2 linked regions of the Tribolium castaneum genome follow. The protein of the gene in region 1 purifies or fractionates together with the protein of each later gene. This does not show direct contact. Links are inferred from orthologs where the notes say so. Each region holds a gene or a part of one and is shown in the gene's direction. Other genes may lie near its edges. The genes, in order: cytochrome b-c1 complex subunit Rieske, mitochondrial; uncharacterized protein LOC658291.

The links.
Region 2: the proteins of cytochrome b-c1 complex subunit Rieske, mitochondrial (region 1) and uncharacterized protein LOC658291 purify together in Homo sapiens (co-immunoprecipitation; 5 studies listed by BioGRID and IntAct, with this or other methods). This does not show direct contact. The link is inferred for Tribolium castaneum from reciprocal best matches to the Homo sapiens genes UQCRFS1 and LYRM7.

What each region holds. Positions count from the first base shown.
Region 1 is NC_087400.1:3,776,161-3,792,390, reverse strand, and holds cytochrome b-c1 complex subunit Rieske, mitochondrial, read left to right. Parts: upstream 1-5,904; 5' UTR 5,905-6,011; coding exon 6,012-6,629; 3' UTR 6,630-6,669; downstream 6,670-16,230. Other genes in the region: ss (aryl hydrocarbon receptor protein 1), read right to left, coding at 12,966-13,219.
Region 2 is NC_087401.1:12,978,023-12,994,046, reverse strand, and holds uncharacterized protein LOC658291, read left to right. Parts: upstream 1-9,846; 5' UTR 9,847-9,952; intron 9,953-9,995; exon of another isoform or gene 9,996-10,009; 5' UTR 10,010-10,038; coding exon 10,039-10,365; 3' UTR 10,366-10,414; downstream 10,415-16,024. Other genes in the region: uncharacterized protein LOC100142506, read right to left, coding at 1-62, 3,239-3,616; uncharacterized protein LOC103313405, read right to left, coding at 5,107-5,302, 5,355-5,554, 5,602-5,640; chitinase-3-like protein 2, read left to right, coding at 5,873-5,925, 5,972-6,105, 6,150-7,011, 8,783-8,840; pre-mRNA-splicing factor CWC22 homolog, read right to left, coding at 15,760-16,024; tyrosine-protein kinase transmembrane receptor Ror, read left to right, coding at 15,703-15,751.

The sequences.
Region 1 (16,230 bases):
TTTCAAATAGTTTTGACGTAAATTAAGAAAATATAAAAATTAAAAAATCCAAAATTTTGAAAAGAAATTGTCAAAATTGCTACTTGAAGGATTTTAAATTGTCTTTACATTGGAACAAACCGTTTTGCTCTCAATCTCAGCAATCGCCGTATAAAAACTGCATAATAAAGTAAAAGTTTTAACTTTTTTATGTCTTTTATGCGAAAACTAAAAGACTAATAGAAAAACAGTTTATTCCACTGAATTCTACGTCTCATCATATGTATTACGCTTAAACTTTTAAAAGTTTAAAATTTTTGCTTAAATTTTTTTTGGCACTTAATTAAAAAAAATGAAGAAATTATATAATGAAGAAAAAGAAGATGATATATTTAAATCTGGCGAAAAAAAAGACAAAAAATAATAATGTTAGTTAAACAAGAAATTTAAATAAAAAAGAAGAAGAAGACAAAAAAATTGAAAAAACTAAAAATTGAAAGAAGAAGAAAAAAATGTTTTGTTGGAAAAAAAACTAATGAAACTACAGACAAAAATACTGAAAAGAAAGAAGCAACAAGCAAAAAGATTTAAAAGAATTTTAAAAAAAGAAAAAAAAATTGAAAAATGAAGAGTATGGATGTGAATCTCGCGGAAGTAGATAAGAAAACAGAAAGAAAAAATAAGTTAAAAGAGAAGATGCGAAAAATTAAAAAACTAAAAAGTGAAAGAAGAAGAAAAAAATGTTTTGTTGGAAAAAAAAATTAATGAAACTACAGACGAAAAAACTGAAAAGAATGAAGCAACAAGCAAAAAGATTTAAAAGAATTGTAAAAAAAAATTTAAAAAATTGAAAAATGAAGAGTATGGATGTAAATTTCGCGAAAGTAGATAAGAAAACAGAAAGAAAAAATAAGTTAAAAGAGAAGATGCAAAAAATTAAAAAACTAAAAAGTGAAAGAAGAAGAAAAAAATGTTTTGTTAGAAAAAAAACTAATGAAACTACAGACGAAAAAACTGAAAAGAAAGAAGCAACAAGCAAAAAGAAATAAAAGAATTATAAAAAAAAATTAAGAAAATTGAAAAATGAAGAGTACGGATGTGAATTTCGCGGAAGTAGATAAGAAAACAGAAAGAAAAAGTAAGTTAAAAGAGAAGATGCGAAATAACAAAACAGAAGACAATTAATATGAATCTCACAGAGAAGGACGAAAAGAAATAAGATTAGTTAAGAAGGAAATTGAAAAAAAAATAAAGTAAAAGTAAAAATAATTAAAGAAAAACAAAAAAACAAAAATAAGAAGAAGATGAATTTGAATTTGTCAAAATAAGAAACGAAAAATGGGAATGTGTACTTAAGAAAATACTTAAAGAAAGAAAAAAGAAAAAAGTAAAAAAAATTAACAAATTATCAAACAAAAAAAAAAAGAAAAAAATGTTTGAATCTGAGAGAGAAAGAAAACAAAAATATTTTATTGGAAAAAAAAATTAGTTAAGACAGTAGTTTGTAAAAAAATTTGAAAACATTGAAAATTCTAAAGAAAAAGAAAATGATAGTTTTAAATCTGACAGATGAAGAAAAAAAATGTTAAAAAAAATATAAAAAAATCAGTAAAACAATTAATAAAAAAACAAAATTTTTGATATTTTTATGCCTTTACAACCCTCTATAGTTGTTAATAGTACAAAAAAGTCAATATGTTCGATTTTTAAAATTTTTATTTTTACAATTTTTACACATTTATCGAGCAATAACTATGGAACTACTAGAGATAATCCCATCAAGTTTACTATCGTTGGAAAGCTCTTTTAATTATCTATCGTTTTGAAAAAAATCATTCTTCTCCGGCTAATAGTTTTCTCAAAAATTGTAAATAAAGCAGCAAAAGCGAAAGTTCCAAGTCCAACACGGGACCCCGGAAATGCAAAACAATTGTCATGTCCTCACTGTTATTACCATATCACAAACAATTCCTCCATACGCACATTACTCTAACAAACAATCATCTGACATAATATTTCTGGGAATGCGAACCTTTACTTACACACATAATTCCATTGTGCATTTATACCAAGCCAAGTTAAAATTTTTGTCATTTCCTCAGAATATATAATTGCGCCTAATTGCATACAATTTAATTGGGGCGTAATTATTGCAATTATTAATTGGCCGAGTGGGACATATCTGGTCTGTGTCAGGCAGGTGTCGAACCAGACTGGCAGCTGATACCTTCCTCCTTAAATTAGGTAATTCGAGAAATCTATATTTCGACTCGATCGCATCCAGAGATAAATAATTGTCGCATCAAGAATTTGCATGCGCGCTGTGCAAGCTGCAGCAGCAAAAATTAATTAATTTCAAATAAGCGAGTATCTATGCGGTTTAAAGACCTCTCTCATTGCGGATTTATTCGCTTGTTAGGAGAGATAGTGCGAGGTGTTGCATATGCAATTGACTATTGTTGTGAGTTATCTCGGTGGATAATTTTATTTATTAGGTGAATTCACACTGATTGTGTGTGCTATTTGTCTGAGTGGTATTGATTCGCTTGGCTAATTAGCAGAAGGCGATTCACTTAACCATTTATCATCTTTAAACTGGTTCTTATCGCGAAGCCATCTAATTAAAATTGCGTTTTGTTGAATCGGGATTACACTTAATTTTATAATAAATTTCAAAGAAAACACGGCGCGAAAAATATTTTGTTTTTAAATTTTTTTTATGCAAAATTATCCAAGGAATCCAAATCTGTCATTCGTTTCGCGCTACAGTCATTTGTTTTTGAGTTACACCCTGTCAAAGTTATCAAAGTAGTTTTTAAGAGTCTCTTCTAAGAAATATTTTTTTAAATAATTTCATCACTTGATGCGTGAACAGTTGGCTAAGAATTGTGTAAAATTGCCCGGAGATCCCAGATATCTTATTCTTTTTTTGCCAACTTTACAAATTTTCAAGTTACAAGCTGTCAAACTTTAATACCGTCTGAAAGCAGATTTTAATTTTGGACATAACTTCTAATATTTTTTTTTTCAGAATAGTTTCAGATTGTTTTCATATACATATGTAAAATTGGCCCAAAAATATAAGTATCTAGTTTTTTTCGCGCAACAGTTATTTGTTTTTGGGTTATTGTTGTGTCTGTTTTACCAAATTTTTTAAACAATTTTGACACACGACAAATTTTTTTTGTTAGCGTTTTCTAATGTACAGTGGTTCAAAAAATGCGAATCTGTGTTTTTTTAACGCTAGAATCACTTATTCTCAAGCTATAAGAGGTTAAACCTAAAAATTTTCAGACTGCAGATTTTCTTGATTTTTTTGACGATTGTTAATCAATTAATTTTTTTGCAACTTTAACACTTGGTACCATGAACAATTGACATATTCTTATGTAATATTATATAGAAAATCTGAACATGTCATTGTTTTCTTACTGCACTAATTTGTTTTCAAGTTATAAGCCCAGAAGTAGTCAAAAAAAGATTTTGCCGAATTTAAGAAATTTTTCTAAAATTTTTTTGAATAATGTCGATGTTTCACGGCACTGATAATTGGCATACTCTTATGTATAATTGTCCAGAAAATCTAAATTTGTCATTCTTTCTACACTAAAATCACTTATTTCTGAATTACAGACTATTAAACCAATGCTTGTCAGAAAACAAGTTTTATTTCAAGTAAAACATTTCTTCAATTTTTTTTCTGATATGTATGTCTCACTGCTCTGATACTTAATATATTCTTGTGTAAAATTGTCCAAGAAATCCGAATTTGTCATAGTTGTCTTACTAAAAGCACTTACTCTTAAGTTACAGGGTGTCAAATCATAGCTTACCAAAAATCAGATTTTATCTAATTTTGGACATCATTTTCAACAATTTTTTTTAATGACTATGATAATGCAATCTCTTTATAGTTAACATATTCTTATGTAAAATTGTCTAAGGAATTCAAATCTGTCATTATTTTCTTCATAAAGTCACTTATATTTGAGTTAAAGCTGTCAAAACACAGTTGGGCAAAAATTATATATTATCTAATTTTGAACGGCATTTCGAACAAATTTTTCAATGATTTCAATTCTTTACACCATTAATGGTTGACATATTCTTACGTAAAATGGTCCAGAAAACCCAAATTTGTTAGTATCTTCTCACTAGAATCAGTTATTTGTGAGTTATAAGTTGTCAAACCTTAGCTTTCCAAAAATCAAATTTTTTCTCATTTTGACGTCTGTTTTAATTTTTTTTTAAAGACTGTGATACTTTCGCCCATCGATAGTTAACATATTCTTATGGAAAATTGTCTAAGGAATCCAAATCTGTCATTTTTTTCTTCATGAAATTACTTGTCTTTGAGTTAAAGCTGTCAAATCTCAGTTTGGCAAAAATCATATATTATTTAATTTTGAACGATATTTCGAACAAATTTTTTAATGATTTCATTTCTTTACACCATTAATGGTCGACATATTCTTAGGTAATATTGTCCAAAAAACCAAATTTGTTAGTGTATTCTCACTAGAATCACTTATTTGTGAATTACAAGCTGTCAAATCTTAGCTTTCCAAAAATCGAATTTTACCTCATTTTGATGTCTGTTCTAAAATTTTTTTTCAAGACTGTGATACTTTCGACCATCAATCGTTGACATATTCTTACGCAAAATTGTCCAGGAAATCCAAATCTGTTATTTTTTTCTTAATAAAGTCACTTATTTTTGAGTTAAAGCTGTCAAAACACAGTTTGGCAAAAATCATATATTATCTAATTTTGGACGATATTTCGAACAAATTTTTCAATGATTTCATTTCTTTACACCATTAATTGTTGACATATTCTTACGTAAAATTGTCCAAAAAATCCAAATTTGTTAGTATCTTCTTATTGGAATTACTTATTTGTGAGTTACAAGCTGTCAAATCTTAGCTTGTCAAAAATCAAATTTTATTTCATTTTGGTCGTCTGTTCCAAAATTTTTTTTTAAGACTGTGATACTTTCGCCTATCAATAGTTAACATATTCTTACCCAAAATTGTCCAAGAAATCCAAATCTGCCATTCTTTTCTTAATAAATTTACTTGTTTTTGAGTTAAAGCTGTCAAATCTTAGCTTTCCAAAAATTAAATTTTCTCTCATTTTGACGTCTGTTTCAACAATTATTTTTAAAGACTGTGATACTTTTGTTCATCGATAGTTAACATATTCTTACCCAAAATTGTCCAAGAAATCCAAATCTGTCATTCTTTTCTTAATAAATTTACTTGTTTTTGAGTTAAAGCTGTCAAATCTTAGCTTTCCAAAAATTAAATTTTTTCTCATTTTGACGTCTGTTTCAACAATTATTTTTAAAGACTGTGATACTTTTGTTCATCGATAGTTAACATATTCTTACCCAAAATTGTCCAAGAAATCCAAATCTGTCATTCTTTTCTTAATAAATTTACTTGTTTTTGAGTTAAAGCTGTCAAATCTTAGCTTTCCAAAAATTAAATTTTCTCTCATTTTGACGTCTGTTTCAACAATTATTTTTAAAGACTGTGATACTTTTGTCCATCGATAGTTAACATATTCTTACCCAAAATTGTCCAAGAAATCCAAATCTGTCATTCTTTTCTTAATAAATTTACTTGTTTTTGAGTTAAAGCTGTCAAATCTTAGCTTTCCAAAAAGTAAATTTTTTCTCATTTTGACGTCTGTTTCAACAATTATTTTTAAAGACTGTGATACTTTTGTCCATCGATAGTTAACATATTCTTACCCAAAATTGTCCAAGAAATCCAAATCTGTCATTCTTTTCTTAATAAATTTACTTGTTTTTGAGTTAAAGCTGTCAAATCTTAGCTTTCCAAAAATTAAATTTTCTCTCATTTTGACGTCTGTTTCAACAATTATTTTTAAAGACTGTGATACTTTTGTCTAAGCTAACCCACCCTTAGGTAAAATCACCCAAGGAATCCAAATCTGCCACTCCCACCTCGCTCCAACCCCTCGTCTCCAAGCCACAACCTGTCAAACCCCAACTTGTCAAAAAAATGTCACTCCTCCGTCGCATCATCTCCCGCTTCGCCCACACCGACATCCAGGTGCCCGACTTCACCCCCTACCGGCGCAACCCCAACCCCTGCTCGTCCTCCTCTTCCAGCGCCCCGTCGCGCCACCTGGTGCCCTACATGGTCTCCGGCACCGCCGTGACCGTCGCCCTCTACGGCGCCAAAGCGGAAGTCATCCGCTACGTGGAGTTCATGGCGGCCTCCGCCGACGTGCTCGCCCTCGCCAAGATCGAGATCAAGCTGGAGGACATCCCCGAGGGCAAGAACGCCACGTTCAAGTGGCGCGGCAAACCCCTGTTCATCAAACACCGCACTCCGGAGGAGATCCAGACGGAGCGGAGCGTCGACGTCGCGACGCTCCGGCACCCGGAGCACGACTCCGAGCGGGTCAAGGACCCGGCGTGGCTGGTGGTCATCGGGGTGTGCACCCATCTGGGGTGCGTGCCCATCGCCAACGCGGGCGACTGGGGAGGGTATTACTGCCCATGTCATGGGTCCCATTACGACTCCTCCGGGCGGATCCGGAAAGGGCCGGCGCCCACGAACCTGGAGGTGCCCGAGTACCATTTCCCAGACGCTGGGACGCTAATTGTTGGCTGATTGTTTATGGTTGGATAATAAAATTCGTTCTTTGATTGTGTGAGTTGGTTTAATGGGGGCTATATCAAGGGTAATAAAATTAGAAACGACGCATGAATCATGGAATTGTTAGTTCGATGCGTCGCCGGTTGGCGCTGTTGCGGGGGTGTGTCCCGATTGATCACTCCCTCGCCAAATCCGGGAGCGAATTCAAGGATTGTAGATAAATAACTAAGAAAAAAATTTATTTATTTTTATACATTCCCGCCTTGTTTTGTTGCTCTCTCATATTTTGTTGGGTCATTGGCTTTGATACCAACCCTACAAGCTTCAGCTGGATTATAGCAAATTTGTAGTTGAAATAACAAATTTGAGATTTAGTAACTCAAAAATCTGTGAGTGTAGCGTAAAAAGCGAGATAGATTCGAATTCTTTGGACAATTTTACGTAAGAATGTGTGACTTTTCGTTCGAAATCAATAAAAAAATTGCTTTAAGAAACGTCAAAAATTGGATAAAATCAGATCTTTAAGAATGTTGAGATTTAAAGCCTATAACTCAAAAATGAGTGATTTTAGCGTAAAAAAAAATACAAATTTGGATTTCTTGGACAATTTTACATAAGAAAATGTTAACCGTCACTTATTTCACGTATAGAAATTGCTAAAAAAAATTGTTATATGACGTGGTGTCGAAAATTTTATAAATTTTTTTTTTGGCAAGTAGTGATTTGACAGCCTATAATTCAAACAAAGATAATTTTATTAGAAAACTAATAACAGATTCGGATTCTTTGGACAATTCTACGTAAGAATGTGTCACTTATCGTTTGTCCTAAGTGTCGAAATCATAAAAAAAATTGCTTGACAGAACGTCAAAAATTGGATAAAATTAGCTCTTTAACAAGTTGAGATTTAAAGCCTATAACTCAAAAATGAGTAATTTTAGCGAGAAAATAATGACAGATTTGGATTCCCTGTACAATTTTACATAAGAAAATGTCAACTATCACTTACTTCACGTATAGAAATTGCTACAAAAAATTGTTATATGAAGTGATGTCCAAAATTTAATAAAATTTGTTTTTAGCAAGCTGTGATTTAACAGCCTACAATTTAAACATAGGTAATTCTATTAGAAAACTAATAACAGTTTCGGATTTCTTGGACAATTTTACGTAAGAATGTGTCACTTATCGTTCGTGCTAAGTGTCGAAATCATAAAAAAATTTCTTAAAGAAACGTCAAAAATTGGATAAAATTAGCTTTTTAACAAGTTGAGATTTGAAGCTTATAACTCAAAAATGAGTGATTTTTGTGAGAAAAAATTGACAAATTCAGATTCCTTGAACAATTTTACACAAGAAAATGTCAACTATCACTTATTTTAATCACAGAAGTCGCTACAAAAAATTGTTATGTGACGTGTTGTTCAAAATTTGATAAAATCTTTTTTTGACAAACTGTGATTTGACAGTCTATAATTCAAATATAGGCAATTTTATTAGAAAACTAATAACAGATTTAGATTTCTTAGACAATTTTACATAAGAACATGTCAATTTTTGGTAGTTTGAAGTAACGAAATATTAATGTAAACTATTTGAAGAAACGATCAAAATTCCATAGAATCTGCTTTAACACAACCTGAGATTTGACAACTTATAACTCAAAATTAAGTGATTTTAGTCAAAAACAAATGACAAACTTAGATTTTTCTGACAATTTTGCATAAGAATGTATCAATTATAGGTGAATTAAAGTATCGAAATCATAAAAAAAAATTGTAATAAGTAACGTCCAATCTGTAAAAATCTGTTTTTGGACAAGCTAAGGTTTGACAGCCTATAACTTAAAAACAAATGATTTCAGTAAGAAAATAATGTCAGATTTGGATTCTTTGAACAATTTTATGTAAAAATGTGTTTAATATTAGTGGTTTAAGATATTGATAATGTTGTAAAAAAAATTGAAAAAACGTTAAATTAAAATAAAATCTTTTTTTTACAAGCTTTGGTTTAACAGTCTGTAACTCGGAAACGAATAATTTTATTGAGAAAAAAATGACAGATTTGGATTTCCTGAACAATTTTACATAAGAAAATGCTAAGTATAGACAGTAGTCGTGTGTCAAAATTTAAAAAAATCGGTAAGACAGAAGCGATGTTTAAAAATTGACTACAATCTGTTTTATGATAATTCTGAGATTTGACAAAACAAATAACTGTAACGCAAAAAAAAACAAAATACTCGAGATTCTTGAACAATTTTACATAAGAATGAGTCAATGATCAGTGTGACAATCGTTTTAAAATAAATAATATAGTCGTTAGAATAAACGTCAAGACTACGATTATTATCTTCACAATTTTTTTTTCAAAGTTTCTGAGATAATTTTGGAAAAGTTAGTCTTCTCCAACGAAAATGAACCGCAAAATTTAAATATACAAGAATTATTTTGGTTCAAATAATCGTTTCAAAAATATAGCACAGTGTATTTGTGATAAAATTTTAAAAATTTTCAATTTTTTGAATAATATTTTTCAACAATTCTTTAAAATCAAACAAGAACTAGTAATCCCAATGTAAAATGACCCGCAGAATCCAAATCTGCAAAAATTAAGCAAGTCCCAATACACATTCCAAAAATATGAGCAAATGTTTAGATGATATAAAAAATCCATAATTTCTTCATTTTTTTGGCAATTATTTTGACACAATTGTCCAAAATTCACCAAAAAGTAGTGACCCAATGTAAAATAAACCGGGGAATCCAAATCTGCAAAAATTATTTAGATCCAAAGCCACGTACCAAAAATATAGCCAAAAATAATCGAATTCAAGAAAAATTAGAGATGAAAACAATCGATCAGACAACAACTCAAATATCTTCAAAGTTTTCCAACAAATTTTTGAAAAAAATACACCGTTCGATGCACAAATCCATTGCGACCCCAAATCAGCAAAAACCACCCCAACCGTCCCCACCCCAGCGTCTCAAACGCCGAAAAACCGCCCCCAGTGCAAAAAATTCGATCGCTTCTCTGCGCATTCTCACGGTTAGCGCCATTTAACATTCCATCGATTGCAGACAATAATCTCGCTACTGTATCATTAGAATCGGCTCCGAACAGCTCGTTTAAAATGCGAATTTTTCCCGAAAAAAAAAAAACACGTTACATTATTATTTCGTTCGCTCTCTCCATATTCATAATTAGCCCTAAAAAATTCTTATCAGATAAGAGTTGCTGCGCCCATGAGAGGGGAATTATTCGTCGAGGGTAGCTTGATATATAACAGTCATTCCACAAAAATAAAATATTTTTATGACACTTGCTTATGGAAATTGAACCAAACATGCGAAACGACCGATTTGATAAATTTAAATTATTTACCTCCCTTTTTTATTCAACTTTCAACGGCTTTTTCCCCAATAAGAATAATAAAAAGTAACAAAAAATTGATCAAAAACACTCAAAAAATCATACCGGGTGAATCAAAAATTATTCCACTTTCAAAAAAATTCTACAGAGTTAGTCAATAATTACACCACCCACCATAAAAATGATACAGGGTGAGTCACAAATTGATCCACCCACAGGGCGAGTCACGATTAAGTTGTACAGGGTGTTTCAAAAATTTCGCACCATACCGGGTGGGGCACATTTGTTGCTCCCGTCCGGCGAACGCTAACAACAGGTCGCCAGCACTGCAATTTGCCTCTAATTACTCGTAATAATATGTAGAAAATAATGAGTGAGGAAACAGCAAAACAAGCGTGTAATTTCGTTCGTCAATAGTCGAATTTTTTGAAAATTTTTCAAAAGGAAAAAATCTAGATCGCGCAAATTACCTATAATTACGCAAAAAAGTCCTAAGTATTATGAGGGTTATTAGTGTTGGTGAAAAAGTGTGTATGTGTCAGGCTGTCCAACCGAATTTTGTAATATACTTATATTAAGTCGGTTAATTGACTAGATCTCGAAATAAGAAATTGCGTGATGCGTGATACTACCTGTAGGTAAAGAGCTATATCTATTTACGTTTACGTGTTGTGACGTAGCTGCTTAGGCGTGTGTGGACACCATTATAAACAATAAACGGCCTTGAGACTTGATTTTGCAAAATTCGGCCAACATATGACGTGACGGATTTCAGTTTTTTACTTTTTTTTAATAAATAATACGATATACCGTTTCATTTTTAATAAAACTGTTTTGAATTACAAATTTCATTAGAGGGGTTTTACATTTAAATTATTCCAATTGACGAGGAAAAATGAAATGTCAAATGATTAGTAAGAAAAAAATATATAGTGGTTTGTGACAGCGAAAAGTTGAGGTTAGATCGCTTGCCGTCGCTCGAAGAAGTACTTTATAGAACTGTAATATCAGTTTCAAAATGCTCAAAACTGATATATTCATGCAATTTGTAACAGACTTTATTTCTACAATTTTTGTTTTTTTTTTGCTTTTATTTCATTCTGAGCAAAAATCATAATTTTTGGGCAAAAATACATGTTACCACAAATTATACTTCAAAAATAGTTTATTTGTAAAAAAATATAAAAAACAGATATAATAAAATAATGACAAATATTTTGGACACATATGATATTTGTTTAAAAAAAATGTTATATAGTGTGAAGGAAGTTAACAAAAAAAAAAAAAGAAAATAAGTTAAAAAATTGAGTGCAACAAAAAATGACATACCGACGCTTCACAGCAATTTGTGACGGATAGTACATTTATCATCACTCGATTTTTTCTTTTATTTTTATTTTGTTTAATTGTTCTTCCAATGAAATTAGAAAAAAATGAACACGACTTTTGAGAAAAATCAGAATTTTTTTTAAGTATACTTATAGTTTATTCTAAATTGCTGTGTATTTAAAAATTGTATATAACTTTAAAAACCACACCAATTATGGACACATATTATCTGTACTTATAAAATAGTTAAGAGATAGTTTACGCGTTGTAACAAAAGTATGAAAAAAAACTAAAAAACAGAATGCAATAAAAATGATATATTGACGCTTCACAGCAATTTGTAACAGATTTTACATCTGTTATAACTTGTTTTCTTGTTTTATTTTTATTTCATTTGATTGTCCTTTAACTAAAAATAGCGAAACAGGTTTTGAACAAAGGAAAACAAAAAATATCAAAAAAATCTTTTGTATTGTTTGTTCCAAATTGCTGGTATTTAGTAAATACGTTTTCATAACTATTCACAAAAGATTTTACTTAAAAATTCTTAAAAACGTAATTTTAGACAGAAATAATGTAAAATAAACAAAAAATTAACAATAATACAAAATTTGTAGAGAAATTATAAAAAAAGAATATTAAAAACTAAAAAAATTACAGACTCACATCAATAGTTTGGAACAGATTCTACTCGTAATCCTAAAATTTTTGAATATTTGATTGTGACTTTATTTGCGAAACAAAAAAATCAAAATAGAAATAACAATAATTGAAGTAGATAAAGTATAATAAGATAATAAATAATAAATGAACTGTTAGAGCTTTGTAAAATTGTAATGATTTGTGACCAATTACAATGATAGTAATTTATCGTGCATAATAATGACATATGATTATTAATTTACAAAATATCCAAAAATAAATACACTTTCCCCCGTTCGAATTTTTTTCTTTCAAAAAGTTACTTAGCTTATTATCAATTTGTAACAGATTTTATGTATGTTATAACTTGTTTTTTGAAGAAAAAAAGCGAAATAAATTTATAATAAAATAAGCAGAATTTTGTTATAAATAAAAATAGAATATAGAATTTGTAAAAACAATAACAAAAAAAGAAAAAATAAACTTGAAAAGTAGAGTAATGAAATATGTAGATATGATATATTAACGGTCTACTTCACTTGTTATCACTTATTTATAACAAAAAATAACGAAATAGATTTTATACAAGAAGAAAAAAAATCAAAATTTTGTTATAGATGCTTTTGACAGTTTTTAATCAAATTTAGAAGAGCAAATCAACTTTTTGTAACGAATTTTACTTAAAAACGCATAGTCTTAGACAGAGACAATGCGAAAAATGAAAAAAATAACAGTTATATAGGATTTGTAAAGAGAATAACACAAAAGAGAAAAATAAACTAAAAAAGTAGAGAGTAGCGAAATGAAGCTATATCAACGATTCACCACAATTCTGAACAGATTTTACTTACAATAGTAAAACTTTTGAATACTTGATCCTTTTTTTTGAAGAAATCAAAAAATAACAATTCCACTTTCCCCAACGTTTTTTTTTTTGAAAATTTTACTTACATTTGGTCTCAAATAAAACACTCACTTTGAACCCACCCCACTTTGCACTCTCACCTTTTGCCGTTCCGTCGGCGCCTCTTGGTGGCGTACACCGTCCCCAGCTGGTTCATGACGGTGGTGGTGGTGGTGCCGCCGCCGCCGCCGCCGCCAAGCGCCGCCTCACCTCCGAACGCGCTTCCAGGCGTCGGGAGCGTCGTCACACATTGGCCTTGCACGGTGGCGGTGGAGACGGTGAATTCCGTGGTGGTGGTGGCACTTGGGGGCGATCTGGAGAAGAGCTGGCACTCGCGAGGACCCGAACTGAACATGCACCACGAGGAGACTACCTAGACGGCAGAGGCGATGCGGACGGGACCGCCCAGTTGATGGGGCGCTGTGACGTCACATCATGGCCGACGGGTGGGGGTGGCGAAGGGGGTGGGGAGAAAAAGGTAGATTCGGGTGAAAAACGGTGGAAAAAACAGAAATTTATACGAAAAAACATTGAAATTTGGCTCAAAAATGAACCAGAAATGGTAAAATTTAAAAAAAAACTGGAAAAAATCAACCAGGAAAAAACATGGCATACAAAAAAATCGTAAAATAGTTTGGTGAAAAGAATATATAGTAAAAAATATATAGAAAAAAGAAAAATTATGAATAAAAGTAAACAAATTGGTAATTAAAATAGATAATTAATATAATTCTTTAAAAAAACCCTAAAAATATCTCAAAATGTGACAAAAATACTACTCAATAAGCAAAAACCATGAGAGAAAAAAACAAAAAAAATGTAATCTTTTGGTGACGAAAATATAGTGAAAAAATATTGCAAAAAATGCAATAGTGCATACAAAAAATTTATTTTAGTTACAAAGTAAAAAACAAAAAAAAATAATTCAAAAGATACAAGATAAAAAAAATTAGAAATTAAACCTTTGAAAAGTAGCTCAAAATGTTCCACAAAAGTTAAAATGTAAATTAAAACTAAAAAAACAACCAACACATAAGAAATCTGTGGGAAACACAAGATAAAAAAACAAAAAATTAAATATTTTGGTTAAGAAATTATACCTAGTAAAAAAATACAGAAAAAAAAATAGGCACAATCAATTTCCTTCGTTAAAAAGTAAAAATTAATTAAAAATACTTGTGCGTACTAATTGATAAAAACAAAAGAAATATATTCAAAAAAAATAGATAAGAAGAAATTAATTAAATTAAAATGTAAAAAAATAAAATGCAAAATAAAACTAAAAAACACATGAGAAAGTTGTGGAAAACGTGTAAATACGAGTATGCACATTGTATAAAAAGAAAATAAAACATAAAAATGTAAAAAGAATAACTTAAAAAAAATCAGAAAATAAAACATTTAAAAAATTACTCTAAATATCACAATATAGAATCAAACTAAAGAGGTACTAAAAAAACAAAAAAAAATCATGTAAGAAAGCGATAAAAGACGTAAAAGTATAAAATACAAAAAAAACACAAAAAAAATAATATTTTGATAAAAGAAAATATCTATAGAAGACAAAGTATAAAAAAATCAAATTTAAAAAATCAAAAATAGCAAATAAAATAAGTAATTAAATCTACAAAAAAAATTATAAAAATAAATGAACATTTACACCAGTTTTTCGAAAAAAAAATAGCACTCTTTGTCTGAAATTGTTTATAAAATTGTAAACTGATGTAATTTTAAACATAATTTTTGCAAAGTTTGATGCAGGAAGATAAAAAATTGTACAAACGATTTTGTTTTGTTAAAATCAAAAAATTAAGAAACTGGAAAAATACAACTGAAAAAATTAATACTCAACTAAAAAACATGTGAAAAAAAAAGAAAAAAAAGAAACCAAAATATACAGTAAGTATTTTAGTAAAGAAAAATATAGAAAACAATAAAACAGAAGAAAAGGAAAAACAAAAAACAAAAAATTGTAGATAGTAAATAAGAAAAAAATTAAACATACATTAAAAGATTTAGAGAAGAAGTTAACAAAACAAAAATAAAACAATTAGATGCCTTTTTTATTCGTTATATATTTAAATATAATAAAAAAGAAAAAGAAAAAGTGGTAACAGAAATAAAATCTATTAGAAATAGCTGTGAAATGTTTGTTTATTTTCTTTTTTTATTCTTATTCACAAATAAATTAAATAGTTTTGTACTATAAAGACCTACAAATAATGTGCGTCCAAAATTGCAGTAGATAACACATACATTCGATTTTTCAAAAACTTTTTTATTTTGCTTTATTTCTCTCTAAAAGTTAAAAATACTTCGATTCTTCTCAAATATTTGTTAATAAAAACAACAAAACAAAAATTAATCATAAAAACGAAACAATTTGGAAAAGAAATAAAAAAATATGATAATTACTAATTTCAAAAACTGAAAATTGATTAAAACTACAGTAAAATCGAACTACAATTTCAGTAGACTATACCTAATATGTACACCCGACTATTTTGAAAATGACACGACATGACATTTTAAAAATAACAGAGTGTACCTATGTTCAATCATAGTGTTATAATTGTAATTAAAAATAATGTATTTATCAGAAACTGTTAATAATTCAAATAATTGTAATTGAAACTAATTAAAATATTCGTCTAGTTTTTCTTTCCCAATCTCAAGTCTTCCCTTATCTCCCCTCATCAATCGTAAAAAATCGTTACAAGTCCTTCCCTGTTGTTAATTAAGTCCTGTCCACGGCCTAATTCGATAATAACAATCGTCAAGGTGGCTTCGTTTCATGTCTTCGAATCGTTAAATTTCCTCAAACGGCAGCATCGATAAAAAATTCGTTAAAAATAATTCAACATAAGCCTTAATGTCACCTTGTAACAAGCGCGCAATTATCCCAAAAAGGAAGTTTGGTCGCGATGTTATCGCAAAATGTAAAACAACTCCTCGTATGCATATAAATGTATTAATATGCAATTTATGATCGAGAGATAAGTGGGCCGAAAATTGGAAATTTTTCGCATGATTTTTCAATTTTAATATTCTGTTATCATTATCACACATGGAATGAAATATTGTGTTTTGTGGAGGAAATAAAAAATTGTAGCGTGTTTTAATATCAAATGCTTGCTAATCGAGGGACTAGGTCAGAAAAATGTGCACGCATGTAACCCGAGACGATGAATATAAAAATAGACATTTAGCCTGGAAAAATAATTTTAAAAAAAATTGTTTTTGAAGCAATTTTTAGCAAATTTGGTACACAATTGTACCATACTATAGACCACTTGTGTGCAAAATTTGAAACCAATCGGACGATATTTGCCCGAGTTATTAATTAATTCCCGAACGAAAAACCCG
Region 2 (16,024 bases), on another chromosome or scaffold:
AACTTCATGGCGCACAGTTCATGGCTGCGGCACGCTCCGGTGATTCCCATCAACATCACAACCTGAAATTTTTACTAGTTTTTTGAAAAAAATCCAAAAACACCATAAGAGTTGTGATTTGATTTAAGTTGGCATCACTGACAGCGCGACCTCAATTTCCGAAAATATCCGAATCGAGCCACTTTCATACTAAAATAAGCATCAATTTTGTAAGTGTATGTTTGGTTGTCCACTTTTAAAAAATCCATTATTTACCACAAATTGTCTTTCTTTTTTAAAAGAAAACATCTTTTATAAAAATAAAAAAATTCATAACAAAAGAACGTACGTTACAATTTATTATAAGAATTCGGAAGTAAAATTACCGTTGGGGGCGCCACTGAGCTAGGTCGAAAACAGTAACCATAAATGGCGGGAAAATGTTTATTCGGATATTTTGAGCGTTGTACGAATTTTGGGGCTTCACAATTATTACATTGCCTATGCGGAATGATTATTGCATCTTTGATGCAAGAAACTTATGTTGACAAATGAAAGATGACGAGGAAAACACGAATAACGAATGACTGATTGATTCACTTTCTTTATTGGAAAATTATTACAAAGACATTGAAAAGCCTACCTTTTGCCATAATTTACGTTTAAATGTATCAGCAGTTGTTAATTTTTATTGTAGTTTTGTAGATTTACCGCAGCATTTCATGTTTTTTTCAGTGGATAATTCTAACCTAAAATTCATAACACTTCACTAATTTATTGGTTTCTTGAGCCAAACTTTGTGTTCGCTGTGATCCATTACTTATAATCTTTAATTAGACAACTGTTTGATAACACTTTGTAATCAAAATTTAAATATTTTTCACTTTTTATCCACTTTCAAGTTCCAACAATAAACACTTTATACCACGAAAAACTACAGAACCAAAGTCAACGCTAGTATTTACCACCACGTACTTTTAAAGTAATTCTTTCTATTGTAAGTAATTAACACTATACACGCAAAATTGTTGAACAATTCATTAAATGTCAGTTAAATGTGGCATTACGAAAATTTCTTTACTGTTTTCGACATAGTTTAAAAGTCATCACCAGAGGGCGTCTAGTTAATTTTATTTCCGAATAATTATTCCTATTAAACAAAGTAAATGGAGTTAAAAAGAAAAATCTAAACTTAAAAACTTTCGAAAATTTTTATTTAAAAATACAGCGTCTTCCAAAATAAAAACCCAACTAAGTGTTCTGTTTTTTTTTTTTTAATTAAAACCCTATTGGCTATTTGAAGTCCATGATATTTTATAAATAACAGAGAGAAAATAAAAAAAAACAGCTAATATACAGGGTGAATTTTTTAAAGCCTACATTAGAAACTTTTTAACTTCTAATATAACTAGAGCTTTAAAATTTTGTATACGATCCAAATCGACCATTCTGATTTCAATTAAATTATTTTCAAAATGGTTGAACTTCCGAAACTACAAAAAAATGGCGCCAAGTTTGAAATTTTAAATAGTAACCACACATTTTTATTACATATTTGAATTCCCCTTTTCAAGCTGAGTAAAATTTACCCATGTTGTTGGTACTTATCTGTCATACTTTTTGACATACGTCAATTTTTTTGTAAAAATTTTCATTTGCAAGCGTTTATCTAAGAGATCACATCCACTAAACCCTTTGCGACAAGTGAATATTTTTTTTTTGTATAAGATAACTGAAGGTTTGAAGAATTTTCTAGAATTTTCGAAATTGTCAAGTGTCAAAATTCATGGCTAGTGTGATTTTTTCAAAATGGTTATCAAAAATCGGCTATAACTCAGTTTATTCAAATGGAAGACCCTATTTTCTTAACGGCAATCGAAAGAATATCTATATTTATGGTGACTTTTAACAATACGTCCTATACATATCTCTTACAGTTTTTGAAAAAAATCACAAAAAACGGATTTTACTTCGTAATTTTCATGGTTAATCAAGTAGACCTTGTAAAATACATCAACAATTGTGAATCTTCAATATTTTATTTAGTTTTTAGCTGGTTCATTATCAAATAAGCAATAAAACAAAAATATTTAATTATAGTTTATTATAACTTAGTGAATTATGTAAAGTAATTCAATCAGTCTGTCATCGAATTTTGAACTTCTTGAATGAAAATGATGAACAAATACGACATTTTTTTAATTAATAGCACAATTTTATCGTATTTTTCGAAAGTTTACTTGATTAAAAATGAAAATAATGAGCAAATTTTTGTTTTTTGCGATTATTTAAAAAACTGTAGGAGATAGATATAGAAGATGTTAATAAAAGTTTGCATAAAAATTGATTGCCATTGAAAAGACAGGGTCATTCCATTTGGAAAAACTGTTTTGTAATAATTTTTTAACCAACATTTTCTTTTTAATCAGAGTAGCCTTGCAAATTGATAGTTGACAATCCTGAAAATTTGAGAAGACCTCTTGAACCTTTGGCTATCAAATGCAAAAAGAATTATTAACTTATTATAAAGAGTTCACGCGATGTAATATTTTAAATGGACCCTTACAATGAAAAAAATTGACATACGTCAAAAACTATGATAGATAAGTTTTGGCAATTAAAATACATTTTACTCAGTTTAATAATGCAATAAAAATAAATAGTTACTATTTAAAATTTTAAAGTTGGGGCCAATTTCCCGTAGTTCCAAAAATTCAGCCATTTTGAAAATAATTTTGTTGAACTCAGAATGGTCGACTTAGATTGTATACAAAATCTTGAAGCTCTAGCTATATTAAAAGTTTCTAATGTACCAGCCTGTACATCTAAACCTCTTAAAATAATTGTAAAAAAGTAAAAACGTGGTAAAAATTATAATATATAAGTGCAAACGTAACGCCATCTCCTGACAAATAGTGACAAGAGGACGTAAGGCTTTCATTTCACATCACTAGTTTAAGACACCATCCTACCTACTACCATCATCACCATAGTATAAAAGTTGCTTTCTTTGAAAAAAAAACACAATTTTTCGTAAATAATAAAATCTTTTATCACTAACCAATTCCTACCTCTCTTGAAATGCCATATTTGAGTGGACGTTTAGTGGTTTTTCTGTATTCCACTTGATTAAACATCTCTAAAGTAGGCAACCAAACATACACTTACAATATTGAAGCTCATTTTTTTTGTTTGTGTTCGGGTATTTTCGGAAATTGAAGGAGTCATTCGCTACCAACTTAATTGATCATTTGTTTACCTTCATGAGAAGATATTTCTCGTCTGGAGCCTCTTCGAGGAACTGGTTGATTCGTTCCCTGCTGAAAGTGTTTGATTTTTTGGGTTTGTATCCGGCGTTTTGTCGCTTCAGGAAAGCTCTAAGTTTGACAAACTTGGAAATATCAATATTTTCATTGACAAAAATCGTTGTTTTCAGCATGGAATACTCGCACCACAGACTCGACGGCGATTTCAGAATTGCACGTTTTTCCTGAAAGTACGCCAAAAGCAACGCCTCCGAAATGGGGCCGTTGTCTTTCGCGAAACACCAATCTTTGAAAAATTTATAGGCCGATTCGTAGCGTTTCTTCGACTTTTCAGGAATTAAAGGCGAACTTACGAGAACTTCGTCTTCCATTTTTGCGCACAAGCACACGATCAGTTTTGTTTGTAAATAAACAAATTACACAACTTGACGACGAGCAGAAGGGGGCTGATTGCACTTCCGCTGTCGTAAGTGTGTTGTTATTGCGAGCGTGACATTTTTACTGCAGGGCGGTAGGTTGGTTTTACCGACCGAAGGTGTCGCCACCGTTTAAAAACAATCACAGAGAATTGGTACAAAAGTCGTAGGCTTTTGTTACATTAGATGGAAAAATCCACACCTGTGACTGCAATTTTTAATAATTTTACGTGAGGTTTTGTTAATAATTTTCACGCTTTCTAGTGACATCTCGATTGCCAACGTCTGGTAACAATCGAAAAATAAATCAATATCTGAGGTTCTGAGCGAAAATAACGAGCAAAATCGGCTTATTGCTTGTTTAAATCACCTGGACAATAATTGATTTTTTTACAAATTTCTATGACTACGGAGATCTAAAGGTTAGGATACGTCTTAAGGCGGCCCCCGAGAACTATCAAAATCAAACTGTCAAATCAAAAAATACGTGTTTTTACCCTTTACTTTTATACATATTTTCAACCGGATTTCCAACTACTGTGGCAAATGGCCTCCAACTGGCAAATAAATTTTGAAATTTTTTCGCAAAGAAATTTTTCTAAAGGGTATTTTTTCCTTGCTATTGCTAGTATTGGGTTCAATTTTTGCACACATATTTACAATGATGTTGTGCATAAATGGTGTATTTTTTTTGGCACCCAAGACTCAGATCATCAGACGAAATAAAAAATGTGTAGTTTTGTGGAGAATTAATTTTTTATCATTTTGCTTTTTGTTTGGTACTGCTCCGTGGTTTATTTTTTTGAGATATGTAATAGTATGAACACATTAAGTACGTAATAAAAGTCATAAAGTCCAACTTTTTCTATAAAAACATTTAGCAAAATTCTTTGTTATTTTCACTGTTTTCCTCCTTTCCTTTGTGCAAACGAACCGGTCAGTGTTTAATAACACAATTAATAATTAGTAATTAACTAGTTTATGTTATTTTTATAAATAGTCCGTTTTTTACATTATTTTCCAATTCTGTTAATTGCTACAAAAATGTCCGTTGTGAAGAGGTGTCCGTTATTCGGAGGTGTCCATTAAGACAGGTTTCATATAGTAACCTAGTGGACTATTATTGGGACATTTGATTACACTCTTGTAAATTTGTAAATTTAAATTTAGGCGGCTTTGATAAACTAGGCAAACTGAAATAAACAATGTATTTTAATCCTTACATTATTATATAACTCTTCAGTTTTTATTATGCTTATCAGCGTTTTCATACACATTAAAAAATTACCAAAGCCTACTCGAATTATTATTATTATTAGTTTAAATAATCGCCCGGAAAATTTAGCAAAGTTTCAAACCAAAATACAGATTCCATTGTACGCGGACTCGTCGCGCCCCAGCAGACAGACGATTTAAACAAACTATATTATTTTTTAACCATTTATTTAACATTTTAACGATTCTAACAATAAATATTGACCAATACCACGCACTAAAACCGTATTTATATCATTTTTCATTGCAATCCGGGCCGATGCCAAACACTGCCTAAACTCCTCACTCTTACAATCGGTAAAATCACAATAACAATCGTTTAACGTCTTCTCTCCTATAATTTTGCGTTCGCTATAGATTTTAAAACTGAAATCAATGATACCATCATTATTTACAATCAAAAAACACAAAAACTAACCGCAAGTCCCAAACAATGTCATCACCAGGGTCTACTGTGATAAGTTGGGTAGGATCTTTACTACAGGGGAGCATTCGTCCTTCTTCGAAGGTTTTTGCAACCAATTCGTCCATAAAATCGTCCCATTCGCCCGTTTCGGCGTCGAGAAACTCATCTTCAGGTTCGCACTTGATGTCACACACTCGGACATCGGCTCGCACCTAAAAACCACACAGGGACTTATATTTAAACAAAATAGCGTAATTACAGCCAGAATTGTAAAAACCAACGCAAATAACAGCCTCATTTTGCCAAACAATGCAATGGTGGGTATTAAAGTGTTAGGATTTTATCTTATCACAGTTGATCCCCGAACAATGACATTTTACTCATCATTTTTTTTTTAGTTTATTGCAAAACCCCAACGGCACGTCACAATTCGAATTTTATCAATAATCCTTATCAATTATTCAAATTTGGGGAAGTGTTTCCGGTCACGTGACCCGATTTGTCAGTCAACAAAAACCTAACCACAAATTATGACTGATATTTATTCTGGCCATTCTCAGTTCGTTTTATTGGGAAATAACAGGTGATTATTGTTGGTTTTGAGCAATTGATTAGTGTGCCCCCTTTAGGAGACGATGGTTCGACGGGCGCACCCTCTTCATAATCACCGTTATCACCGTCCCTGTCATAATATTCTGTGGTATTTACACGATTATACTTAGAAGCAACGAAAGTCTCTTGTACCCCCGAAGCCCCACCGAAGGTAGGCAAAAGTACCAAGGGGGCTATCACTCATTTGTTGTTTAGTGGGGCCAGGTCGGGGCGCCCACCGTGCCAAAATGTACAGCTCCCGGCTGCGCAAGCCCGACGACAGGGGGCTGCTGCTGATCGAAGAGGACGTGCCAAAAATCGCCGATTTTAGGCTAGTTTGTTACTATAATTTTCCAAGCGCGGACGGGGGGCTGCAGCCCGAGAGCCTGGACCCCTTCCTGTGCACGCATATCAACGTGGCGTTCGCCCGTGTGGGCCCCAATGGGGTACAGCTGACTCGGGACGAGCTGAGGGTGCTCCAAACCGTGGTGGGGTTGAAGCAAGTCAATGGGGATTTGAAGGTGTTGGTGTCCGTGGGCGGGGCTGGGAATGATGGGGGCTACAGTGGCATGGTGTTAAATCACGCGAGTCGGAAAGTTTTTATTCGATCGGTGATCGACTTAGTGCGGAATTATAGCGTGGATGGGGTTGATCTCGATTGGGAGTTTCCGAATGAAAGTCCGGGGAAGGACCGGAACCAGAAGGTGCATTTCGTGCAGCTTTTGGAGGAGTTTCGAATGGCGATTAATAAGCAGGCGAGGCATAAGTTTATTGTGACGGTGGCTGTGGCAGCCCCCATTTTTCTGGTGGATAATTGCTATGATGTGCCTTATTTGAACGAGTTTGTTGATTTTGTTAATGTTATGTCGTATGATTATCATTTTTATACCAAATTGACCCCCTTTACGGGGCTCAATTCGCCCCTGTACCCCGCCATGGAGGATAAGGGGTACTTTTCAACGCTTAATATTAATTTCACGGCACACTATTGGGTTTCCAAAGGGATGGCAAGGGAGAAAATTGTGATTGGTTTGCCTGCTTATGGACACACTTTTCGGTACATAGCTCAAAATCAATGGTAAAATTTTACTTTAGGCACATTCGACTGCATAATAACACTTTTATCATAATTTTTTTAAATACAAAATTGACATTTGACTGTCAAATGTCAATTTTCTGACATATAGTAGCCGGCTGACTTGATCGGATCAGGTCGGCTCTTTTCGATAAAGCAACCAATCAAATGACTTCGAAATGACCATGCAATAAACCTACTAGATAAATGCCCACACGGAAAAATGCTCTTAGAAAAACTAGTAATAATCAAAAGTGTAACCGTGTAAAATGTTTTTAGGTAAAGACCATTAAATTTTTTTGTTGTAATTTTTTATTTTACTTAAAAATTTCAAAATTTTGGAAATTGGTTACGGTTTTTCTACGTATAGCTTAAATCTAGACTGCTTGATCTGTTCGCTCTGTTCTTCTCATAAATTATGAAATTCAAAAAATTATACAGCGTGTTTGGGAATGTTTTAGCAAAAATTTGAAGGTAGATTTTTTCCAAAAAAAAAAACCGTTCTGAACGGTTTTGAGAATCGCTGAACTAGAGTGATAAAAATTAGCGTAAAATTATTGACAAAACAGCAGCGTTAATTAAATTTTTGGTTCACTCAAAAAAAAAATGCCAGAACTTGGGTTCGAACCTCCCACACAAATGAACATGCAAGCAATCAATAGCAACATTGTTTAAAAAATTTTTAAAACGTCCATGGGCCACTTATTTCACTTTACTAAAAAAAAACTACCTTAAACCACGCAGTTGTTTAAAATTATGCAGTTTTGGGAAAAAATGTCGGGTTTTTGAGTCGTCTGTCATCGGCATTAATTCACATTCAAAATATTGCAACATATTACCCTAACACCCTGTATTTTTTCATAAAAGTCCATAATTGAAATTATTTTAAAAACCATCACTCTTATCAGAAATGTCCACATTTTGTTCAAAAAAGATAGACATTAGAAAATTATTCGGAAGTAAAATTACCGTTGGGAGCGCCACTGAGCTAGGTTGAAAACAGTAACCATAAATGGCGGGAAAATGTTTATTCGGATATTTTGAGCGTTGTACGAATTTTGAGGCTTCACAATTATTACATTGCCTATGCGGAATGATTATTGCATCTTTGATGCAAGAAACTTATGTTGACAAATGAGAGATGACGAGGAAAACACGAATAACGAAGGACTGTTTGGTTCACTTTCTTTATTGGAAAATTATTACAAAGACATTGAAAAGCCTACCTTTTGGCATAATTTACGTTTAAATGTATCAGCAGTTGTTAATCTTTATTGTAGTTTTGTAGATTTACCGCAGCATTTCATAATTTTTTCAGTGGAAAATTCTAACCTAAAATTCATAACACTTCACTATTTTATTGGTTTTTTGAGCCAAACTTTGTGTTCGCTGTGATCCATTACTTATAATCTTTAATTAGACAACTGTTTGATAACACTTTGTAATCAAAATTTAAATATTTTTCACTTTTTATCCACTTTCAAGTTCCAACAATAAACACTTTATACCACAAAAAACTACAGAACCAAAGTCAACGCTAGTATTTACCACCACGTACTTTTAAAGGAATTCTTTCTATTGTAAGTAATTAACACTATACACGCAAAATTGTTGAACAATTCATTAAATGTCAGTTGATGTCAGTTAAATGTGGCATTACGAAAATTTCTTTACTGTTTTCGACATAATTCAAAAGTCATCACCAGAGGGCGTCTAGTTAATTTTATTTCCGAATAGAATCGTTAAAAGTGTTGCCAACAAGACCATTTTGCAGGTGTTTGAATGTTGGTAGTAAATTTGAAAAAGAATGGGCAAATGCATCTTTAAAATAGAAGAGGACAAAAAATAGTTTATTAATGAATTGGAACTAGAGAGGAAACGTAATAACCATTAATTTAAACGCAGCTTATAGTGGGCTTCTTCAGTTTTTTGGTAAGTAGGTATTTTTCTGTGTGAGCTTTTTTCCTATGGGCTTTTTTCTGGTCACCTATTTTTTCACTACAATTTGAATTGTTTTTTTTAATCGTTAGTCGTTTCTAATGAGATGAATAAATCTGGGGAATTTACACATTTTTATGCGAGTGTGCCTAAGTAAAATTTCACCGAATCAGTTACAAACTAGAAACTGTTCGTAGATTGACGAATATTCACAACAGTGGGTTCTACGCCCCAGCCCGTGGCTACGGCAAGCTGGGAAGTGGCGGTTTTGTGGATTATACCCAAGTTTGTAAATTTTTAAACATGAATCAGATCTCGCCAATTTTTGATTTGGATTCGAAAAGTCCCTATGCGACCAAAGGGACAGAGTGGGTTTCTTTTGACAACGAACAAAGTCTCTCCTTTAAGGTGAGTTGGCTAGGGGGTTTACCGATTTTATAGTGATTTTTGAGTTGGGATGTTGGTACAGTTTGGGTTTTTAGGCCGAGTTTGTGCGAGATAATCAGTTTGGGGGCGTTATGGTCTATTCCCTAAACGCTGATGATTATTTGGGGGTTTGTAAAGTCGATCCAAAAGTGCAAAGTCGGCAGTTTCCACTTATTAACAAAGTTAAAGAGATTCTGGACAGGAATTATTCAATATTTTAACGCGTCCTGACGACTGTGTGACCTGAGGCTGTTAAGCGCGGTGATAATGCAAGTATTATAATTTTTGTAATAAAAGTAATGCGCAAAGTTTGACAAATTTCATGTTGGCGACCCTTACTGTATTTTCCTGATACCAAATATTCTGGTATTAATTTCAAGGGCATTTCTCTCATTTAAAACAATTGTTTTTTCCTCCAATCGTGGCGTTAAAAATAAATATTTAATTATTAAAAAGTGAGATTAATTGTCAAAATGTCATTTTTGTGTTGGCAACCTTGTACACACAAATAAACACAATTTCGGCCAAATTTTCAATTAAATACTAAATTCAAGTTAAAAACATCCTACAAAATAATCCGGTAAGACTTACGTAACACAATAATTGATTTTTTTATTGGATAGTAATTTTTTTTGAGGTTATGTAACAAAAAGGGGTTCAATAAAAATGGCCCAAAATCTACGTCGTGAGGTCTTAGCTGCTTTCAAGTCACTCCACAAGGCGCGAAAACATGTTTTTCAAGGAGATAATAATGCCTTGACCAAAGCACGTTCCAAAATTAATGAAGAGTACAAAAAATGTAAAAACGTGACCGATAAACACGCCATAGAGGAACTAGTGAATTATTCAAAGGCTGTAGAAACTGAATTAAGGGTTACTGTTATCCAGGCTAGGGAAATACAGCCTGGGCAATACGAGGTTAGGTTGAGGGAGGAAATTCCAAGGTTGGAGAATGTGCCCTTTAATGAGTGTGCCCAAAAGTCGAAAACCTGAATTCTGAATTGTTTTTTTTTTGGTAGAATAAATGGTTAGAATTAGGAAATCGTTTTTTATTTTTGTGATGGATTTTGAATGCAGGTGATAAGCAACCATTCGTACAAAATTTGGTGCTGATTACAGTCGACCAGACTTTTCTACAGCCAAGTTCACACCAGGAAAATTATCAAAATAATCGTAAATCATTATAAAAACATCAATAAGCTGTTACGCTGACTTGCATATCGCATTTGTAGAACATGTGTTTCCATTACAAATTAAAACTTAACTGCATTTAATTTTTGCATTTAAACTTAACAACACATGTTAACACACCCTTTATAAACAGTTAAACGCCCTTTTTCATCAAAATGTTTATTTAACACGAGAAGTTAATTTTTGCCCTATATACATTTCAATAAATCACACTGAAGTTTATGTCGTTGACTCAAGGTAGATTTATCTACCCTTAAACATATTCAATAATAATTAATAACGCTTTAAAAGAGCGGAAACGGACACAAAATCCATAACAGTTAAAGTTTTCACATTTCCAAATGATAACATAACCCTACTTTTAAAACCGAATTTTTTGGAGACTTAAAACTAACACAATTTGTAGCAATACCAGTAATTTTTGCACCAAAATTTCACATCACCAGCTCGTTTGCAAATATTAAATCAGGAAAATAGTGAAAATAATGAATAAGAATTTTGCAAAATGCTTTTATAGAAAAGTTGTTGTACTTTATGTTTTATTACGTGGCAAACTTAACACACGTTAACACGCTCTTTATAAACGATTAAACTCCTTTTTCATCAAAATGAAACACGAGAAGTTTATATTTGCCCTATTTCAATAAATCACACTGAAGTTTATGTCGTTGACCCAAAGGTAGATTTGTCTGCCCTTAAACATATTCAACAATGATTAATAACGTCCTAAAAGAGCCGAAAAGCACACAAAATCTATTAAAATTAAAATTTAACACTTCAGAAGAGAGTATAACCCTACTTTCTGAACTTTTGTCTCTGTCTGGCAATAACACATAAATTTTTGACGCAAGGTAGACATTTCTGCCCTAAATATCCTATCATAACGCTCTGAAAGGGCAGAAATGGATAAAAGTGTAAATTTTGTCATTTCCAGGTGGCACCATAACCCTACTTTTCGAACCTACCAAATTTTCAACAAAACAAACCAAACAAGCAATTTGTGGCTATACGCATTGCGATACCACTAATTTTCGCATCAAAATTCACATTGCCAGGTTCTGTTTAAATAACAACATTCATTTTTATTTTTCCAATAATTGCATGCGAAACTTTTATAATTTCAAACGTTTATAGACAAAAACATTTGTTATAATTAATTTTTCTAGGTTAATACTGTTCTATTTTGAATAATTCTGTGTATGAATGTTTCTAAATTTGACGAATTATGTGAGTGTATGTTTCTGGTGATGACCTGTTTTACACACAATGTGACGTCACATCCGTGACGTGTCCCGAGGTTAGGTGTGCGTCGCAGTAGGCGAGAGCGCTTCAGTCGGCATCGAGCAGTGGTAGGGGTCACTTCGGGAGCTCGAGACGAACGGTGTATTTAAATTATTGTGCCGTTTCGTTTAAATTATTCAGTTTGTTACTTGCCGTTGTCGCGAACGGACGTGTGCTCAAGCAAATCTAAATTTTTCGGTTTAAATTTTAAATTCGGTGATCGCGGTTAGTGTAGTGTGTGTTAGTGCCAATGGAATGGTCTTCAAGAAGGAAACAACAATCCGGATTAAAAAGGTCAGTGCATTTTTTTTTTCATTTGCGGTTAATTTATTTTCATTATCTTGCTACAAACGGTAGCAGTCGTGCGTTTTAATTTTTTAAATGCGGTGTTGAAAAGTCATAGTTTGAGTGACGCGTTTTAAATACAGTAACTATAAATAAAATCAAACACTCAAACAATTTAATGCCACTTAATAATTTTCTCTTTTAATTTCAATGAATGAAAGTGGCTTGCTCTAAATTTAAAGCAAATAAACATTTTTTTTTGGTTTCATTTTTATTATTATTTTTTTTTAATGCTACAAACGGTAGCCAACGTGGAAGCGATACGAAAGGTAGGACCATTTTATTTTTGTGTTGCGTTATTTCACAAATATTTCCTTAAAATTTAATTGCAAATAAAATGTTGTGTACACCGGCTCTAAATACGATGTTGAAAAGTCATAGTTTGAGTGACTTATTTTAAATTCAGTAACTAAAATAAAATCAAACACTCAAACAATTTAATGCCACTTAATAATTTTCTCTTTTAATTTCAATGAATGAAAGTGGCTTGCTCTAAATTTAAAGCAAATAAACATTTTTTTTTGGTTTCATTTTTATTATTATTTGTTTTTAATGCTACAAACGGTAGCCAACGTGGAAGCGATACGAAAGGTAGGACCATTTTATTTTTGTGTTGCGTTATTTCACAAATATTTCCTTAAAATTTAATTGCAAATAAAATGTTGTGTACACCGGCTCTAAATACGATGTTGAAAAGTCATAGTTTGAGTGACTTATTTTAAATTCAGTAACTAAAATAAAATCAAACACTCAAACAATTTAATGCCACTTAATAATTTTCTCTTTTAATTTCAATGAATGAAAGTGGCTTGCTCTAAATTTAAAACAAATAAACATTTTTTTTTGGTTTCATTTTTATTATTATTTTTTTTTAATGCTACAAACGGTAGCCAACGTGGAAGCGATACGAAAGGTAGGACCATTTTATTTTTGTGTTGCGTTTTATTTATTTCACAAATATTTCCTTAAAATTTAATTGCAAATAAAATGTTGTGTACACCGGCTCTAAATACGGTGTTGAAAAGTCATAGTTTGAGTGACTTATTTTAAATACAGTAACTAAAATAAAATCAAACACTCAAACAATTTAATGCCACTTAATAATTTTCTCTTTTAATTTCAATGAATGAAAGTGGCTTGCTCTAAATTTAAAGCAAATAAACATTTTTTTTTTTTTGGTTTCATTTTTATTATTATTTTTTTTAATGCTACAAACGGTAGCCAACGTGGAAGCGATACGAAAGGTAGGACCATTTTATTTTTGTGTTGCGTTTTATTTATTTCACAAATATTTCCTTAAAATTTAATTGCAAATAAAATGTTGTGTACACCGGCGCTAAATACGGTGTTGAAAAGTCATAGTTTGAGTAACTTATTTTAAATACAGTAACTAAAATAAAATCAAACACTCAAACAATTTAATGCCACTTAATAATTTTCTCTTTTAATTTCAATGAATGAAAGTGGCTTGCTCTAAATTTAAAGCAAATAAACATTTTTTTTTTTTTGGTTTCATTTTTATTATTATTTTTTTTTAATGCTACAAACGGTAGCCAACGTGGAAGCGATACGAAAGGTAGGACCATTTTATTTTTGTGTTGCGTTTTATTTATTTCACAAATATTTCCTTAAAATTTAATTGCAAATAAAATGTTGTGTACACCGGCTCTAAATACGGTGTTGAAAAGTCATAGTTTGAGTGACTTATTTTAAATACAGTAACTAAAATAAAATCAAACACTCAAACAATTTAATGCCACTTAATAATTTTTTCTTTTAATTTCAATGAATGAAAGTGGCTTGCTCTAAATTTAAAGCAAATAAACATTTTTTTTGGTTTCATTTTTATTATTATTTTTTTTTAATGCTACAAACGGTAGCCAACGTGGAAGCGATACGAAAGGTAGGACCATTTTATTTTTGTGTTGCGTTATTTCACAAATATTTCCTTAAAATTTAATTGCAAATAAAATGTTGTGTACACCGGCTCTAAATACGGTGTTGAAAAATCATAGTTTGAGTGACTCATTTTAAATACAGTAACTTAAATAAAATCAAACACTCAAACAATTTAATGCCACTTAATAATTTTCTCTTTTAATTTCAATGAATGAGAGTGGCTTGCTCTAAATTTAAAGCAAATAAACATTTTTTTTTTGGTTTCATTTTTATTATTATTTTTTTTAATGCTACAAACGGTAGCCAACGTGGATGCGATATGAAGGTAGGTGCATTTATCTAGTGATGTGTTGAATTTAATAGATGACTGCCATATATTATAACGTATTGGGTATTCTTTGTTTTGTGTAAAATTGATATATGTTTGTATAATTGTTGTAACCTTCATGCAAATAAAGATTTTTTATTGGTGTTGTTTTAATTTTTTAATGTCTTGCTACAAACAGTAGCCAACGTAGAAGCGATATGAAGGTAGGTGATTTTAATTTTTGTGTCGCATTTTTTTATTTCACAAACCAATAATTCTTTTGTTTTCTAATAATCATTGTTTACCTTATTTTGTGGGGTGTTGAATTTAATAGTTTTGAGTGCCACATATTGTAACCTATTTTGTAGTTTTGTTATTTCACAAACCAATAATTCTTTTTTATGTTCCAATAATCATTGTTTACCTGATCCCTATATCCCTTTTTCCTGGCAAGAATGCTCTAAACCTTCACGTGGTTCTTGCTGGACAAATTACTTAGTAATTTGACCAATTAGAGCAATCCTTAAATACGAATTTTTTGCAATATCGTGAAATTTTATAAATATTAAAAAAATTCGTTAAGGTCCCAAGGGGTGTTTGCCCGAACATGGTTTTTTTTACAATCGAAGGGCTTAATCTTCTGCAAAAATAAAAAAAAATCAGGATATAAAGGGGGTGAAAAAAAATCAGTTGCATTGCTTGAATATGAGAATAAAAATGCAGAAATTAAATACAGTTAAGTTTTAATTTGTAATGGAAACATACTAGAATGGTCAGTAGATGTTCTACAAAAGTGATATGCAAGTCAGCGTAACAGCTTATTTATGTTTTTACAATGATTTACGATTATTTTCATAATTTTCCTGGTGTGAACTTGGCTGTAGAAAACGAGATATCAATTTATTTATTATAAATTATCATACAATAAAGGACAAAACAGTATAGATTCTTTCGTATTGGTATCACAACAATTTAATTTAAGTAAAAGAACATGTATTTTTTCTCGAATGATTTGTTTGGGTGAGTAGTCCACTGGTCCACTGCAAAATTCCGTCGCGTGGCGTTGCCAACATTTTTTTGGTGCGTTTCTATTTTTAGTAACTTTTCATCTGTCAAACCATCCCAAAACATTCTTTGTGTATATTTACACAAATCGGCGTTATTTCCAGTGCAATTTATTTGTTTATCAACCGTAAGTAATAAAAGCGCCCCGTTAGCACCTTGCTTTATTTGTGGCTCCTGCAGGTGCATCGACCCTTTGCCCCCTTGACCCAGACCCGGTGCCAAACAATGTCGCTGACCTAATCATGAACAAACACCTCTGTGTCTTCCTGCTCGCAACATCGACGATTCTTGGTAAGTGTCTAAATGCACCCATTGCCCCAGCACGCACACCACGGCACTTTTCCATTGAGCGGAATGTTGGAAATGTTGGACATTTTGCGCGTCTTGACTGTCTCGCAACTGCTGAGGCTGTTGGTGCGTTCGCGCTCCGAGTCCTCGAAGGGGGCCCCGAAGCGGTGCTCCGACCGGTCGGTGCACACCGAGAAGGAGCGCTCGCGGTGGGGGCGCTCCACGCTGGTGAGGGTCCCCCGGCGGCTCTTTCGGTGCTTGCGGTGCCGTTTCTGG